Linked DNA regions of Lepisosteus oculatus. The protein of the gene in region 2 interacts with the protein of the main gene of each other region in a pairwise test. Links are inferred from orthologs where the notes say so. Each region holds a gene or a part of one and is shown on either strand. Other genes may lie near its edges.

The links. The genes of interacting proteins can lie anywhere in the genome.
Region 1: the proteins of copb1 (region 2) and copb2 interact in a two-hybrid assay, tested with the Homo sapiens proteins (2 studies listed by BioGRID, with this or other methods). The link is inferred for Lepisosteus oculatus from reciprocal best matches to the Homo sapiens genes COPB1 and COPB2.

What each region holds. Positions count from the first base shown.
Region 1 is NC_090708.1:7,920,814-7,929,205, reverse strand, and holds the start of copb2 (coatomer subunit beta'), read right to left. Parts: upstream 3,295-8,392; 5' UTR 3,188-3,294; coding exon 3,185-3,187; intron 2,264-3,184; coding exon 2,126-2,263; intron 1,876-2,125; coding exon 1,789-1,875; intron 1,420-1,788; coding exon 1,293-1,419; intron 667-1,292; coding exon 518-666; intron 371-517; coding exon 224-370; intron 1-223. Other genes in the region: retinol-binding protein 2-like, read right to left, coding at 6,747-6,800, 7,283-7,384, 7,992-8,170. UniProt on the Homo sapiens protein: The coatomer is a cytosolic protein complex that binds to dilysine motifs and reversibly associates with Golgi non-clathrin-coated vesicles, which further mediate biosynthetic protein transport from the ER, via the Golgi up to the trans Golgi network.
Region 2 is NC_090716.1:10,266,742-10,274,810, reverse strand, and holds the start of copb1 (coatomer subunit beta), read left to right. Parts: upstream 1-4,640; 5' UTR 4,641-4,738; intron 4,739-6,095; 5' UTR 6,096-6,157; coding exon 6,158-6,248; intron 6,249-6,506; coding exon 6,507-6,736; intron 6,737-7,973; coding exon 7,974-8,069. Other genes in the region: psma1 (proteasome subunit alpha type-1), read left to right, coding at 1-1, 420-524, 997-1,056. UniProt on the Homo sapiens protein: The coatomer is a cytosolic protein complex that binds to dilysine motifs and reversibly associates with Golgi non-clathrin-coated vesicles, which further mediate biosynthetic protein transport from the ER, via the Golgi up to the trans Golgi network.

The sequences.
Region 1 (8,392 bases), on a different chromosome or scaffold from region 2:
AACCCTGTATTCTTTAACTGAAATAAATTACATCAGAAAGCCAAGAAGAAAATAATGGAAAAGTTATAATTATAGGTATAATTACAGGTATTTGCTGTTTTTTGTTCCATATACAACAATACATAAATACTAATTGTAGCTATACTTTGCCTTTCCATAAGTACTGAATGGAACCACTAGATCTTCTAAACCAATTCTTAGGACATTTTACTGGAATGTATACCTGGTAGTCCCAGATCTTCACCAAGCGATCATCAGCTCCAGAGATGAGGTACGGTTTGTCTCCTCCACTGTAATAATCAATGCAGTTCACTCCTTTCTCGTGGCCCTCAAGGGTAAAGTTTGGAGAAGAGGACCCAAGCTGCCACACCTGATAAAACAATAAAATGCTGGCTCATTTTCTAAAGAATCATGGATTTGGACATTGTATCAGTCAATTCTGTACTAGAACAGCATTAATCTTAACATACTTTGATGTACATGACTAAAAAGATATGTAGCCTCTGTGAGATGTTACCTTAATAGTTCTGTCCAAAGAGGCACTGGCAAACTGGTTGTTGTCTTTTGGATTGATGACGATCTGCATGACATAGTGGGTGTGGCCCTCAAACACCTGGCTGCAGGACCACTTCTTCTCCCAGTCCCAAAGCTTGATGAGCATGTCATCTGGAGCACCACAAACGTGCCGTCATGAGATCGGACACTATTCTTTCACATCTCCTCTGAATTTCAATACACCACACAACACACTAAAGGATAATTCACTAGGAATAACAACACCCAACAGCCAAGAATTAAGTGCACTGAAAGGTTTACTGAGTGTTTTAGTCTTTGTAAACTTTGATTAACACGCTTGGTTGAGCCTGGACGAGGTGGCTGGCACCCCTGGAGGAGGTGACCAAGGGGCAGCTGCAGAGGATGAGAAGGAGTGGAGGGGGATGTAAAAAACATACCCAGGTGGAGATGGGGATTACATATAGTTTTTATAATTTGGATGTTAGGAATTGTTCATTCCTGACAGCTGAGAGTGACTGAACTTGGCTGTTGGCTGTTCCAAACTTATATTTATAAACTCCCTTTCAACCACCCCTTTTTTCCCCACCATTCTTTCAACTATACACGAAAAGGAAAGGAAACACCACAATACCACATAATTCAAGAACTTATCATGCATGTTGTATTACAAAGACTATTCTCTTGTGAGTTGCCATAGAACACATTTAAAAAGTATTTCATACAGACAACTGCAGTATACATGACAGATAACATCCATGCATCACTTCAGATCTTACCACTGCTGGTGAGAATGTAGGGCTGAGTGGGATGCACTGCTATACAGCGGATGTAATCCGAGTGTGCTTCAAACATGTGAACCCTTTCCAGAGTGTTGTAGTTGAATACACGGATTTGCATGTCATCCTTTATAGAACAAAAAAGAAAGGAAACTTACACATACTTGTCTCAATGTCGATTATCTTAAATCTCCAGCTGAATTTTGTATTGTAAAATTTAAAACCTAAAATTGAGTTTAAGAAACAAAACCATGACATATTATGTTGTGTACCAAATTAATTTATACTATGTAGAGTTTAAAAATGTAAAATCATTTTGCTTCAATGTTACTAACATCATAATGTCTTCTGAAACCATGAGACTCCCATTTTGCTCCACTTACTCCAATTTGGTTTAAAACCAAATAATGCAATACTTATAAATCGAGCTAACAGTTTTAATTCTGTCTTATTATTCAATATTTTCCCCACTATTAAATAAAGGAAAAACACATACTGCTCCTGTGATGACCCAGTTCTTCCTAGCAACAAATTTCGAGGCTCTTACTGGCAAATCACACACTTCAAATGTCTTCACAAGGGTCTGGGGATAAAAAAAAACGTTATTTGGATTACTACAAATAAATTAGCATACTGCTATTTCCCTTGCAACAGCACATGAAGCAACAGTTATTAACAGGTTATGTTTTTGGAGTTTTGCTTGTTTTAACGGCTTTACTAAAATGCACTACACACCAAAATACAGCTATTTATTTGCCAGAGTACAGATAATGCAGACCCCACTTATCTGTTCACTCACAGTACTGCAGCCACATCTTCAGCCAGTAGCCTACCTGGGTCTCATGATTCCACACACAGACACTACCATTATACAGACTGGCCAGCATCCACGGCTCAGTGGGGTGAAGATCGACACTCTTCACTCGGTCCGAGCGAGCGGTCAGCTTCCGCTTAATGTCTAGTCTCAGAGGCTGGAAAACGAAGGTCAGTGCAAACATGAGTTTTTTTAACCTCAAAGGCGCTTCAAACATTAAAAAGTGATGTGCAAAACATATAAACGCCACTTGTGCTGACAGTACGCCTTCAAAGATGAACATTTAAAAGTCAGAGACTTGTATTTTGCTTTAAGGAAAAAAGGCCGATTTAACAAGAGTCAACAGTTGGGTTTTCAGTCTACAACGTCTGCCGCCGTCAAAAATTAAAGCAGCAGCTTAGCGCTGAATCTCTCTACAAGAAGCAGTGATAGAGTGGGTAAGATGCTGTCCAATGTTAAATACAACCTAAGAATTAGGGTTAGTCTACAAAACTCTCCAGGTTTTCAGTGTTTTTGAGCCAGAGGTGAAATTCTAACGTTGGATCTTGGTTTGACACACCACACACCCTCATCTTCCCTTTAATTTTCAAGACAACACGGTGTTCTCACGGCTGACATCACAAGTCACATTCGTATTTTGCAATGACGACCAGCAGGGCTAACTCAATTAATCGCCACAAACACAAACGGATTCAATAAATAACCAAACAGTCCCGTTCTGCATTTCTAATTCCTTCCTGCTCGCTAACCCCTGTCGTGGCAGCCTGTGTGTGCAAGGTTTCTGCCTGTGCTGCTGGGTCAATACAGTGCTGCAAACGTCGGACCCCCGTTTTTTTCACTGAAGAAAAAATACTTTGTAAGTGTACAGCAATTAGAATAATTAATAAAACCCTCAACGTCACCATATTTCAGTTGTGTTGATGTTATTGTGCGCTGGGCCTTCATCTCAAATACATTTCGTACATCAAGGCTTCAGAATTAACTGCAAGCCCTAGACTACAATGCTAGCAGAGGAACCTATTTAAAACGTAACTCCAAATAAAAAAAAGGTGTTCTATGTCTGCTTTTTATCACTTACCATGATTGCACGGAGCCGGAAAACTGATATAAGCGATTACCGGATCCCCTCTCCTAGGTATCGGCCAGCAGGAGCTGCGCTGGACTTACTGACGTGGAGTTTCCTGCCATGAATCACGCGAGAGGTCCCGGAGGCATCACCGCGAGATCTTGTGCAGCTGGTCCAACCCTGGACATTTTCACCGTATTATGGCGATTAGGAGGGGCGTTTTTATTTAGCGTCTCATGCTACAACGTGCTACAACACAGTGTTTTCTATGCATTATATTGTTTAAATAGTAAGGCTGTAAGTACATCAAAATGTGAGCATCATTGTTAAAAATGCCTTTTGGTTCGATCATAGTATGCACAAGGGCTGGCAGAAATGAGTTTCAACCACACCGTCCTCCAGCGAGTTCCAGACTCTAGTTGAAAATCATGTTTGCCTTCTAGGAACTGGGTTTTAAGTCCTCCCAATAGATGGCTGCCTGCTTCGCTTCACACACCCATCTTCGAGGTGGGGAACACGGATGAATTATACTGTTGTTATTTTTTTAAGAACACAAGAATGATTAATTCTTAAGATTAAGACTGTACAACGCATCCACCTTGCGTCTGGGCAGAGGCAACATTGACAGTGACCTGTTTCTGGCCTGAACACATCTACACATCTACTGCTACATCTGTTCTTTTTCTTTTCCCGTTTACAACCGTTTTTTGTGCAATATATGCCAGGGACCCGTGCAATACATTTATATTTATATTTATATCTTTATTTACATCTATATATTAATATGTGCAATACGATTTTTCTGCGTACTGCTCTGTTCTAGTTTGTTCTTTGTGTGTCCGGACTGTGAGTAACTCTTTTAGCGCACCCCTCACTGTCCTGATTGTATTGTATGTATTGTATTATTATTATTATTATTATTATTATTATTATTATTATTTTTATTTTTATTATTGTATCATTCGTTACACTGTGGCGGTGTCTGTGTTAGGCTGCTGTTGCACCACTGCAATTTCCCTCACGGGATCAATAAAGTATCTAATAACGAGGGTCCATTCGCTCCATCCTAGCTCATTCGGAAGTCCATAATGTATTTACTGATTCAAGGACGTCATCCTGGTTTCTACAATGAAAGCACGGTCTTGGTCCACTCTCCCACACCCCTTTTGATAAAGAAGAAAAACAGTGCCTCCTGTTCTGTGTTTGAAATGCCCTTTCACATACTTTCCCATCGTGCCCTCTGCTCCGTGTAATTGTTCATCCTGAAGACGTCTGGTGCGTTGGCTTTGTGCACAGTATATTGAAGTGCCGCCCTGCTGTGCTTCCTTCCCGTGTCAGTGGGTAGGTAGGGGGTGGCACTTTTCCCATGGTCCAAATGTCTGTTTTCCATTAACGCAGAAATGAACTTTGCTATGCAATCTCTGGATTTATTAGAGGTGCAGCAATAAAACTAGAGCATTCGTGTGTTCACATGCTTTATTTGAAGCCATACATTTGACGTTTAGGATAGTGTCTATTGAGAGCAGAAATGGTGGTGTAACAGTTAAGACTGCTGTCTCATAGCTCTTGAGTCTTCTCCCTATCTCCCAAAGACATGTAATGTATAATAATGTAATAATGTTTCTTTATTAGCCCTATACAATTTCTTGCATTAGGAATTTGTCTTTTCGCATACTCCAGCTTTTCTCCATGGAGACACAGACACACAGACAGGGAGAGAAGCTTGGGGTCAGAGCGCAGGGTCTGCCATTGTACAGCACCCCTGGAGCAGTTAGGGTTAAGGGCCTTGCTCAGGGGGCCAACGGAGTATGATTCCTCTGCCAGCCGCGGGATTTGAACCAGCAACCTTCCAGTCACAGGTGCAGATCCTTAGCCACAGAGATGCTGGCTAGGGTGGACGGACTATTCTAAATTGCCCATTTCCTTTCAATGTCCTAATGTCCCATGCAGGGTGACAGCAGCCTTTGTGCTCTCTGTCTTGCATTGGACCTCCAAGGTTAGTCTCTGTGTTGCTGAGACCCTCACCTGCACAGGCAGATTTCTCATAGAACATGGATGTGTATTAAAGTCCCCAATTCTCCACTTCCAATACTCCTTTAATAATAATAATTATATTAGTTAATAATTGCTTACACTTATATAATGCTTTTCTGGACACTCCACTCAAAGTGCTTTATAGGTAATGGGGACTCCCCTCCACCACCACCAATGTGCATCCCCACCTGGATGATGCAACAGCAGCCATTGTGCACCAGATCGCTCACCACAGATCAGCTATCAGTGGAGAGGAGAGCAGAGTAATGAAGCCAATACATAGAGGGATTAGTGGGAGGCCATGATTGGTAAGGGCCAATGGGAAATTTAGCCAAGATGCCAGGGTTACACCCCTACTCTTTTCAAGAAACGCCCTGGGATTTTTAATGACTACAGAGAGTCAGGACCTTGGTTTTACACGGCACCTGTTTACAGTATGGTGTCCCCGTCACTATACTGGAGCATCAGGACCCACATGGACCGCAGGGTGAGTGCCCCCTGCTGGCCCCACTAACACCTCTTCCAGCAGCAGCCTTAATTTTCCCAGGAGGTCTCCCATCCAGGTACTGACCAGGCTCACACCTGCTAAGCTTCAGTGGGCTACCGGTTTTGAGTTGCAGAGTGATATGGCTTCTGGCACTAGCCACCAACTATCCACCTTTAACACTATCCACCAAGAAACCCATTCCAAGCCTACATGTGACTCAGCTTGAAAACAAAAGAGGAGAAAAAGATTTGTGCTGAAGAAAATTCTGAGAAGGGTCAATACGAAGAGTTTTCCGAGAAGACTGGTCTCCAGGTTTTGCGTTTTTTAAATTCAAGTCTACTGAAAATAATTGTGTGTACACTGTTGTTTAAAAAAATGCCAATAATGGAAAATGTGGAGACTGCACATCATGCAAGTTTTCAGAGTGCAGCACTTGAAAATCAGAGTAATCAGTTTCTTTTATTTTCTTAATGGTGCAATTTATTCCAGGGGTTGGCTTTTTTTCTTTCCTACTCCCCATACAGGCTATTTTGTTACAGTATTTGTGTATTGTGTGGCTTTCTTTCATTGCTTTACTAGATTCCCAAAGCATGCTGACAAATGCAATGTAGGACTCTGCTGCTTAATCCAGAATTAAGGAATATATATTGTCATAAGTGCATGGCCAGAAATAATATGGAAGCAGTCCAATATTCCACATATTCAGCTTAAAGCTGTTAAGCTTTGCTTTGTAGCTAGAGAGCCTGTTTGGATTTCTCCTCTCATTTATCAATGTATTCCAGTATTCTGAGGAGCTCTCAGAAAGTTACAAACGTTCAATAAGGCATTCATATAATATCGGAGAAAATCACTGAAATTAGAAGTGAGCATACAATTCCAGAATCAGACCTTCCTTTGACCGCATCCCTGAATTGTTGTTTTTCTCACTTATTATGTTCTCCCCTCAATTAAAAAAACAAAACAATGACTTTAGAACCATTTTTGCAATACTGTCAAAAACCGGTTTTAATATGCTTAAAATGATAATAATGAACAGGAATTCCAGCTTTATTGTTATTGTTTCTTCTTAAACACCTGATGGCAGACTTTGTCTTCACATGTCAGTTCCTGGAGAGATATACAAGAAAGATAGGAATTCATTTATATACAAAGTAAGAAAATATTCTGAATGATGTACTGCAAATCATTAACTAGAACATCAATGGCAAAATGTAAAAAAAAAAAGTCCTTTCATGGTCAAAAACTAAGTTGTGCCTGGCATGTGAGGTGAACAGTTTCCAGAAGATAAAGCAGAGTGTTAAATTCGACTATACAGTGCCTCATCTCCTTATCTACCCCAAGAAACATAACTTTACTTGTATATAAGCTTCTAAAAATGTGCATTTTGTAGCTACTGTATCTCCTGGTGAAAGCCAGATGAGTTGTCTTTGAAACAGCTGCTGTAAATAAATCGGAACATGTTACCTATTCCTGTTGTCCTAAGAGTCATCCTTTTAGCAGTACAGAGTCACTATTGATTTACTGTAATATTGTAGGCCTAAGTGAAGAAAGTGTTTATATGACGGTTAAGTGAAAAGAGGAGGACTCACCAAGTGCAGTTTGTCTCCTTCAATCCAGTGTTTCCAGCCTCTGTTGGCTTTTTCTCCCTTCTGGACACAAACCAGTTTATCACCATCCCATGTCACCACAGTCTGGGATGTAAAAAGACAACAAGAAAATGACAGCATTTTGTAGGCATTTGGACAGTGTGACCAGTCTGTGTACGAACAGGATTAGGCATTATGTCTCAGAAAATTCATTCTCCTTACATAAAAAAGTATTTTGCTTCCACGTTTGTTTTATAGTTTTCTTGGTTAGCTATGTATTCTTTGAGTGGATAGTGCAATTTGTGATCTGAAGACTTCATTATTCCTTGATATAAAAGATTAAGAAAGATTTAAAAAGACAAAGGTTCAAGAGAAGAAGCTCAATAACAAGCTCTTTAGCTAAAATGTTCCGAAATAACCTCTACTCATTCTCATATATTTTTTCTATTGGTCAAATATTACTTCCTTTCAGAAAAGGTCCTCTTGCTGAGGAAATGAGAATACCTGTAAAAAAAAAATATCCCAGATTTAATCATGCTTGCACAAATAAAGCCACCCATATTATGAATATTAAACATAATTTTGTATTTCTTTTTGGTGAATAACCCTCAGGAACCCTTAACGTGTTAACATTACCAAAAAATAAATAGCATCATAACTAAAAATAACTTAGAAGCTTCAGGCGGTTTCTTAACGGTGAAGAGGTTTGTACCTTGACCACTCTGTTATCCAGGCCCTTAGTGTGTTCCTCAAACTCCTCTCCTATGGTGTAGTTCACATCATAATTCCGAAATGTGCTCAGGGTTTTCGTCTCAAATTTGTCCCCATTCTGAACAAACACTTTTGTCTGTTTCAGGTGCAAGGCAATTTTGCGGGTAGCAAAATCTATATCTGTTTTTATTTAAAAAAACAACAACAAATAAACAATTTATTCCAGAAATTGATGCATTGGATTGGCATTTGTATCAGAACATTTTAATTTAATTTCACTTATTGCTGTTTGTCATGAAATTTCCATATCTGTATTGTGATAAATTCCTGTCACCTTGTGCAATTTAAAATGGTAAAAGTCATTTGGGCTTTCCAGGAAAATATCAAATGAAATAAATGAGT
Region 2 (8,069 bases):
GGTAAGTAATTCGTGCAGCGTCTGATGCAAAGAAAACCCGGTGATTTGTCTTATAACAATTTCATCATTGACAAGCAAGCAGTAAATATGAAAGATGTTTAGATGTAATGTGGTATGTAATGATTTTACACTGACAGAGATTTATATTCTGTATGACTGTGCACTGCTTAGCTCCATTTGTTTCACATTTTCATGCTTAATTGATTTGATACACGAATCCAAAAACAGGCTATGAAAGTGATTATTAATGTTGTTTTGAATTGTAAAAATTTAAAAATGTATTTAAGCTTAAATATGGGGGACATTGAATGTATTTAGTGTTTGATTTAATATTCAGTAATGATTAACTTTACTATTTATTATGACATATTTAATATTCAGAAAAATACTTTAAAGGGTAACATTCTTGGCCTTCACAGAATGTCTCCATTGGAATTGTTGGCAAAGACCTGGAGTTTACTATCTATGATGATGACGAAGTTGCACCGTTCCTCGAAGGCCTTGAAGAGAGACCCCAGAGAAAGGTAGATATATTTAACCGTACAGTTCTTTCACAACTTCCTCTTGCTGAAAATGTCTCCTGTGCTTTCCATAAGCACAATGTTCTGCTCCATATGTATTCAGTATACAATTGGCTAAGGTTTTTTTTGCCAAGTTATATAATATATTTTTATAAAATGAGTAGCTTTCTTTTTATTTATATAAATTAAAAGAGAATTAAGGGACAATTAGGGTGATTGTTTCCCTCAAGGTGAATAAGAAGAATTATTACACTTTCCAAAATGTATAGGATTTATACAACAATGCAGCAAATTATACTGTAAGGCCTTCGCTTGCTTTACATATCCTTCTGTTGAATTTTTCACAGTAATTTTTCATGCTCAGTATATTTAACTGTATACTTAAGGCAAGATTTTTGTTTTAGAAAAAATAATGATGTTTCTTTATTAAAGTTGGGATTTCTTTACTGAAGCCTGCTCCTGTTTTGATTTCTAGGTTGCACAGCCGCCTGAAGAGCCAGCAGGAGGAAAAGCTGATGAGCCCATGGAGCACTGATGTTGGTCCTGGCTGCCAAAGATTTACACTGCTGATTAAAAAGTTCACAATCTGTAACATACCTGCTGTCAGTCTATGACCATGCATTCACAAAGTAAATGTCAACATGGAGCCCATTTTGGCCTAAGAAGATCTTAGAAAGCCACCTACCACAATATTAGCTTTTTTGTTTTCTACAAAGACTAGTTATATTATGCTTTTCTATATGAACCAACCTCAGATTGAAGTTTCAGAATAAAATCTTGTTTTCCCTATGTGTTTCAGGTCGTAGCTTTTTTAAAAAACAAAACAACAGAAATGTTAAGTAACAACTGCTTCCAATAAAAAATAAAAAAGAATTTGTAGTACCTTGTTAACCATGTACTTTATAAGGTTGCAGTCTAAAGCACTCTTCAGAAAACACACTTGCTAAATGTAAGGATCCTGTGAGATAGAAAAGGTTTGCGCTCCATTAAAAAATAGAGGGTCTTGAAGGTGAACCCGAAGTTCCAGGACTGCATGTTTGTTTTCATAGTTAAGTTTGTTTTTCATAGTGAGTTAAATCAGCTGGTACAGTGTAAGATGGGTGCTGAATTTCCTTTATGTATAAGTAAAGGGTAATCATTTGGTACCAATTAATCATGAACCAGGCCCGAGTTTCAGTTATATGTTGTTTTCAGAGGTGGTGTCCAAGGTACGCTTATTTGCCAATTTTATTGTGTCATTTTTTCTGTCTGCTTAAGTCAAAATATCAGGTAGCAATATGCTCTCTTGGCATCTTCTAACGTTCTCTGAAAAAAATGGGCTTGCTAGACATACATAACATGATGTTAATTGATTATTGTACGCACACCTCTTGAAATACTACTAATAATCCCACTTTCAGTTCAATATGGATAAAGGTGATGGTGCTGTTTAAGTCACCCCATTGAATTGTTAGTTTTGTTTAGATAGAGGATTTCTTGTGGATAGAAAGGTTATCTGCAGGTATTTTAACACCCTTTTAAGTTCTATGTTTAATTGTTATAAAGTTTGTTGTATTAGGAAAGAAATGAGCATATTTTAGTTTTCATGGTGATAAAACGGTACCCATTGGAAGTAAAAAAAAAAACCCTGAAATATTGAAAATGTGACCGGATTATGAAATACCAGGTGTATTTTCTGCTATAATTTTTCCAGACGGGGTCATCAAATGCTGTGCAACAATGTCCTGTGTCAGGCGAAGCAGACCTTTGATATTGATTTGAGTCAAGGTTCCTGCAGTATGAAGGACACCGCTGAAGGAAGAGGTGTAATAGTATATCCCAGGGGTGACCTCAAACCTGCAGATAGTTTATTTTCTAGTTTCACAAAAAGGGCTGGCACCGCAAGAAGAGGTCATGTTACAGAAGAAGCAGTAAGGTGTTCTCCCCGTTAGTCATTATCCCCAGGTCACAACAACTTCTGGTGAGGTCAGCATTTTTTTAGGTATATAGAATATTGTAGAAATGTTCTCTCATCATTCCAATGAGATGAGTTCTGTTGTTACTCCTGTCATTGTCTCTGTCCCTCACTCCTTACTGATCATGCACGCTATTCTTTTTCATTCACATTTGAGCATGATGCGTGGAAAGTTAAGGAAACTGACGCAGATGAATTTCAGATCATTAAAAGATATATCTTCATTGGCATGTTTATTGTGAAATCATAGTCCCTGTTGGGCTTCAGTAAATATTTACTTACAACAAAAATAATATTCCTTGGCTCACATAACAATCAGCTAAATGTAAGCCAGCAATAGTGCCTGGGATCTTGTTCTGTTAAGGGATAACAAGGATAGCAGAATGTCCATGGCTTCTGTGCTGATTGATTTAAGAATACATATGAACAAGCATTAGCAACACAGGGTACAACACAAAGCATATGATATGATATACTGTAGAACTAGTTCATTTATAGAAATGAAGAGAACAGAGGAAGGGTGAATGTTCTGGTGATGTACTTAATGGAGTACCACAGAGATCTGTATTAGGACCACTACTCTTCCTAATTTATATCAATGGTATAGTTAGTAAACAGAATGTTAGTATATACTGTATATACTGAACATTCAAATAAACAGTAGTTATAACGGCTAGTTTAATGGAGTCTTACCCTCGATACTGTATATGGGGCATAATTGTTATTTACTTGAATTTCACCAGGCTTTAATCAGTGGAAACACATTCTATTTTTAAAAAAATACATGCTCAAATGGAGTGATATGTTTTGATGCTCAGTATAAATAAATGTAAAATTGTGATCAATAGGCTCCTTCAACTAGAAGACTGTTATGAGAATACTGTACACAACCTTTATCACTATGTTAAAATGAAAACATTATGTTAGAATAGCATCAGTCCAGAGAAGAAAGAAACTGAATCTTCATAGTCTTGTATTGAAGAGTATAATGGGAATTGATTCAAATATTAAAACATATCAAATCATAAAATCAAACCAATAGACTTTTTCAGAATCAGTAAACAAATATGAACATGAAACACAAACATGAGATTGAGAATGTGTTATGTTGGGGTTTTTTTTCACATTAGGGTTGTTGGGATTTGGACTAGGTGTTGTTGGAGCTGAACTAAACTTTCAACAAATGGCTGGATGAAATCCTCTTAGCTCAGGTTGCTAAGTTAAGCAACCACAATCTAGACAAACCAAATAGCATCCTCTTCCTCTTTTGTAACGTTTCTTTTGCTCTTCTCAGAAAAGCCAGATAAAAATAATGATACCAATACTAATGCTGTTGACGTAGGAAAAAAAAGTCTGTTTTATGCTAATAAAGTACAGACAATCTATGATCTGGTCACACCCTCAGGGGACATTACTGACAAAGGGAGAGAGATGGTTGTGGGGTATCAGGAAAAGGTAGACATGACCACAATGATAAATGCCTGCACTTATGTAGAATGACCTGGGTTATGTGGAGGTTCTTGGTTAACCTATGTCACTGGCCAGAGGCTTGGTGGACAATTGTGGACATTGAATCCTCCCATTTAAACCCATTTGACAGACAGTTCTGATCATGACATAAATCCCTAAAACAGAATGAAATGCACTTTTGAGTTCTAATAGGGGGAGGTGTTTGTGATAATGAAGCAACGAGTGGATATTTACAAAAATATTTAAAATTAGAAAAAATTATCATTATTGAAACAAAGTTTTATTTTTATTAAGGAACATATATAGTGTTGCACTGGTGTTTATTTTTTCTGTTTTTGAACATATTTTAATAGGCGATTTGCAAAGAACATTTAAACTTCATCGTAAAAATTATAATCTGAATTAACATCGATCAAATCGTTTTTTCAATGTATTTTAATGATTCGGTCATATCTATAAACAAGAAATGTTTAAATAGATTAGTAGGATTTAACTACTAATCTATTTAAGCATTTCTTATTTATAGATATGATCGAATCAATAAAATAAAATTGAAAAACTGATTTACCTATACTCTGTTTCTATCTATACACTAAATGTTGGTGACGTTAAAAGTTCACATTTGTACGCATGCAGGCAGAAACGAGTTTCTGTTCCCTCTCGCCTTAGTTTAAGCAAGTTTGTCCCTCTTAGCTTCCTGTAGTATTGATGTGGCTCAGACCTCCTAGTTCCACGTCACTTGGATGTTGTAGCGTAGTGCAGCTGGGGAGAGGTTAACACAGTGAATAAAAAGGTAAAGAAACTTTCATTTTAATTGTGTAGATTTATGCGGTTTTGTATCATTTTACGGAAGTTTCTTCTATAAGAAATATTTACAATTGCATTGTAATTTTCAAAAGGTTCTTCCTTTTTGTAAATTGAAGCTCCACATCTCGCAGGTTATTTTAGCTGAAGTTCCAGCAAGGCACCACTACAGAGAGCATTAACAAGGAAGACATTTGTCAAGCCGGAGTTGGATGACCCATGATAAATCGGTTATGGCTGTTGATTTGAACGTTATGCACAAACTTGCTACTGTGGTGGTTTTGCCTCCACAATACCGATTTCTGATGTAGCTTGTGGGATTTTGTGTAGTTGAGCCGGTCACTTCCTGAGGCCTATCTTTTAGGCCAAACCTCTTGATTGTGCAGAAGAACGAGCTCGGTGCAGTTTACTATAAAATTATGTGATCACACCTGCACAGAATAGTCAACTGATATGGTCAATAAATTAGTGGCTTTCCACATGCTTTTATTGTATTGTAGTTTACACCAAGGGAACAATCGTTAAAATATCGTTGTGTAACGTCAGACTTGGGTAGACAAGTTATGGCCCTAATACAAAATGTTTACGTTTATTGTAATATCTTAAAAGGATATAGTTTCATTTTTGCCTTATTACTTAGTATTTGTTCTTAAATGTTGTTTTCACCTGCCCTTTATATGGTGGTGTTAATTGTATTTATTCTCATTACGGAGAAGAACCTAAAAGATGATAAAATAGTGCTTCATGATAAGTTACTGTTGGTTCCCAGCAAGTTTCTTATTAATATATGAACGTTATGCTGTAAGTTTTACTTGAATTATGTTTTTGTCATCAGGTTGCAAAACGTAAAATAAAATAATAGAAGTGGTGTTTACAGGTGTTCTAATTTACGGAGGCCACTTATACATGTGTATTTAAATGCGAACGTCCTGTGAGCAGTAAGTGTAATTATGTCTCTATGAACAGCACGGATTTGACGTGCCAGCGTGGAGCAGGATATTCTTGGTGCTGTACAGGGAAGAGGTCAGGGTGTCTGCAGGTGTTCTAGGTCTCTTTAAAGCAGCAGCACCTGAAGATCTAAGATAACGTAATAAATTGGTCCAATTAGCCCAGTGATGATCTGACAGGACATTAAGAGCTACATTGAAATTAAATCCTCTAGGACCAGGATTGGACAGCCCAATTCTAAATGATTTGGTCATTTGTGACAGCTGCTTTGTTGATTTTAATGCCATTTCACGTCGATAAATAATGTATAATATGGCAAAGTTACTCGCGTTTTGCACAGCAGTCACTTGCGATCAATTTTATCTTAAAAAAATGCATGTTCTTGTTCTTTGTTACAGGGTCTGATCAACATCAAGTTTCTCCTGGTGTTTTTCGTTCAGAAAATTAGACAGCCGGCATCATGACCGCCGCGGAGAATGTGTGTTACACTCTCATAAATGTTCCGATGGACTCGGAACCGCCATCAGAACTAAGTTTGAAAACAGACCTCGGTGAGTGTTAAATGCAAACAACTGCAAGGGAAGCTAGAAGGAAGAACTTGCTGTAGATTTACACCAGGTTTGTTGAATGGTTAACACATGGTTAAAAAAATAAAAGTGTTTCTTTCTTTGATGTTTTGCCACTCACGATTAAAGCATTTTTGGGGGGTAGTTTTCCTGTTTTCTAAAGGGGATAGGATTGAGTGATCTTTGTGTGAATGTGATTATGCACGTGTTCATTTTCAGTCTTGTGGTGCTGTTCACTTTTAGAAAAGGGGGATATCAAGGCCAAAACGGAGGCCTTGAAGAAGGTGATCATCATGATTCTCAATGGGGAGAAGCTGCCTGGCCTGCTGATGACCATCATTCGCTTTGTACTGCCTCTTCAAGATCACACCATTAAAAAGCTGCTCCTTGTCTTCTGGGAGATTGTTCCCAAGACCACTCCAGATGGGAAGCTGTTGCAAGAGATGATCTTGGTCTGTGATGCCTACAGAAAGGTACTTGTCCGGCTCACTAGTGTGTCATGTTCTGAATTTGTGCCTTTTGACAGTGTTGTCTGAAAGTGTTTGCTTTGGAAGACCGGTCACGTATGTTGTGAAAAGATTTTTTCATGTCTCCTGTCCTGATCTTCCCTACAAAGATGGGCAGAGGAGAATACATTTCCATTGCACCAAGTCTTAAAAACTCAGAACATTTTGATATTTTTCTTTTAGTCTGGTTAAGGGCACTTGTTTCCTGCCCTCATGTGCCATTTTTCTGTTCTGTGTTCTGTACTGTGTTGGTTAGTTTTTGCCAGGTCATGTGCTTGCTTTGACTCTAAGAATAAGACGTCAAATATACATTAGATGTACTTCACTTGGTTTTGTGGGTTTACTGCAAGATTTTAACATCTGCAGTTTTCATATGTTTCATATTTATAATCATATTGCTGGCCGTGTTAAGGTCTCGCTTCTATAAACAACAAGAGTGCTTCTTCACGTTGCACAGCTGTGGCTTTTTCTCTCCACTTTTCAAGTGTTGGTGAGTGAGCACTTACCACTTATCTTTCTCGTAAAAAAAGTCAGAAATACTTGAACAGCCAAGAGAGCCAAGAGCGTTTCCCCAATATTAATACTCTTAGGTATTTTCCAAAAGCCATGAAAGTTGTAGGAATTGGAAAATGGGGAACAGTGTTTGTTTTGATCGAGACCCACTTCTATAATCATCAATAGGAATTTTCAGTGCACCTCTTATATTTGAATTGGATTTTTCTTTTCACTTCTAAGCAAAAGACATTATGATGAAGAGTGGGTAAAATAATAGAATAAGGATTTAAAAGCTGTCATGGCTGTTGAGCTCAAAGCTTGTTTGAACGCTTCTTCTTTTACAGCTTTGCACTTAAGAAATTATCACCAGGACCATGCAGGAGGAATGAAATCTGATCCAGCCACCCGTTTCTCGTGACTCCATATTTGCCACAGAAAACTATTCTCACAGTGTGCTTCTTGCCACTTTGATGGGGGAAAAACACCTGATCATGAAGCAAAATAGGAGGCAATTGTTGACCTAAACTGTACTGTTTAATAATCGCCAGAAATCTGTTGTTGCTTAAGCCTGAATGCAGGTTTAACTCAGTCACCCACTTCAGCATTGCGACCTGGCCTAAATTGCCTTCGGCTTTGGAGTCACTGATCTGCCCTTGTGTCTGCTGGGGTGAGGATAGTTTGTGGTTATTCATTTCTGTTGCATTAACAGGACCTACAGCATCCTAATGAATTCATTCGGGGTTCCACCTTGCGGTTCCTGTGCAAGCTGAAAGAGTCTGAGCTGCTGGAGCCCTTGATGCCAGCG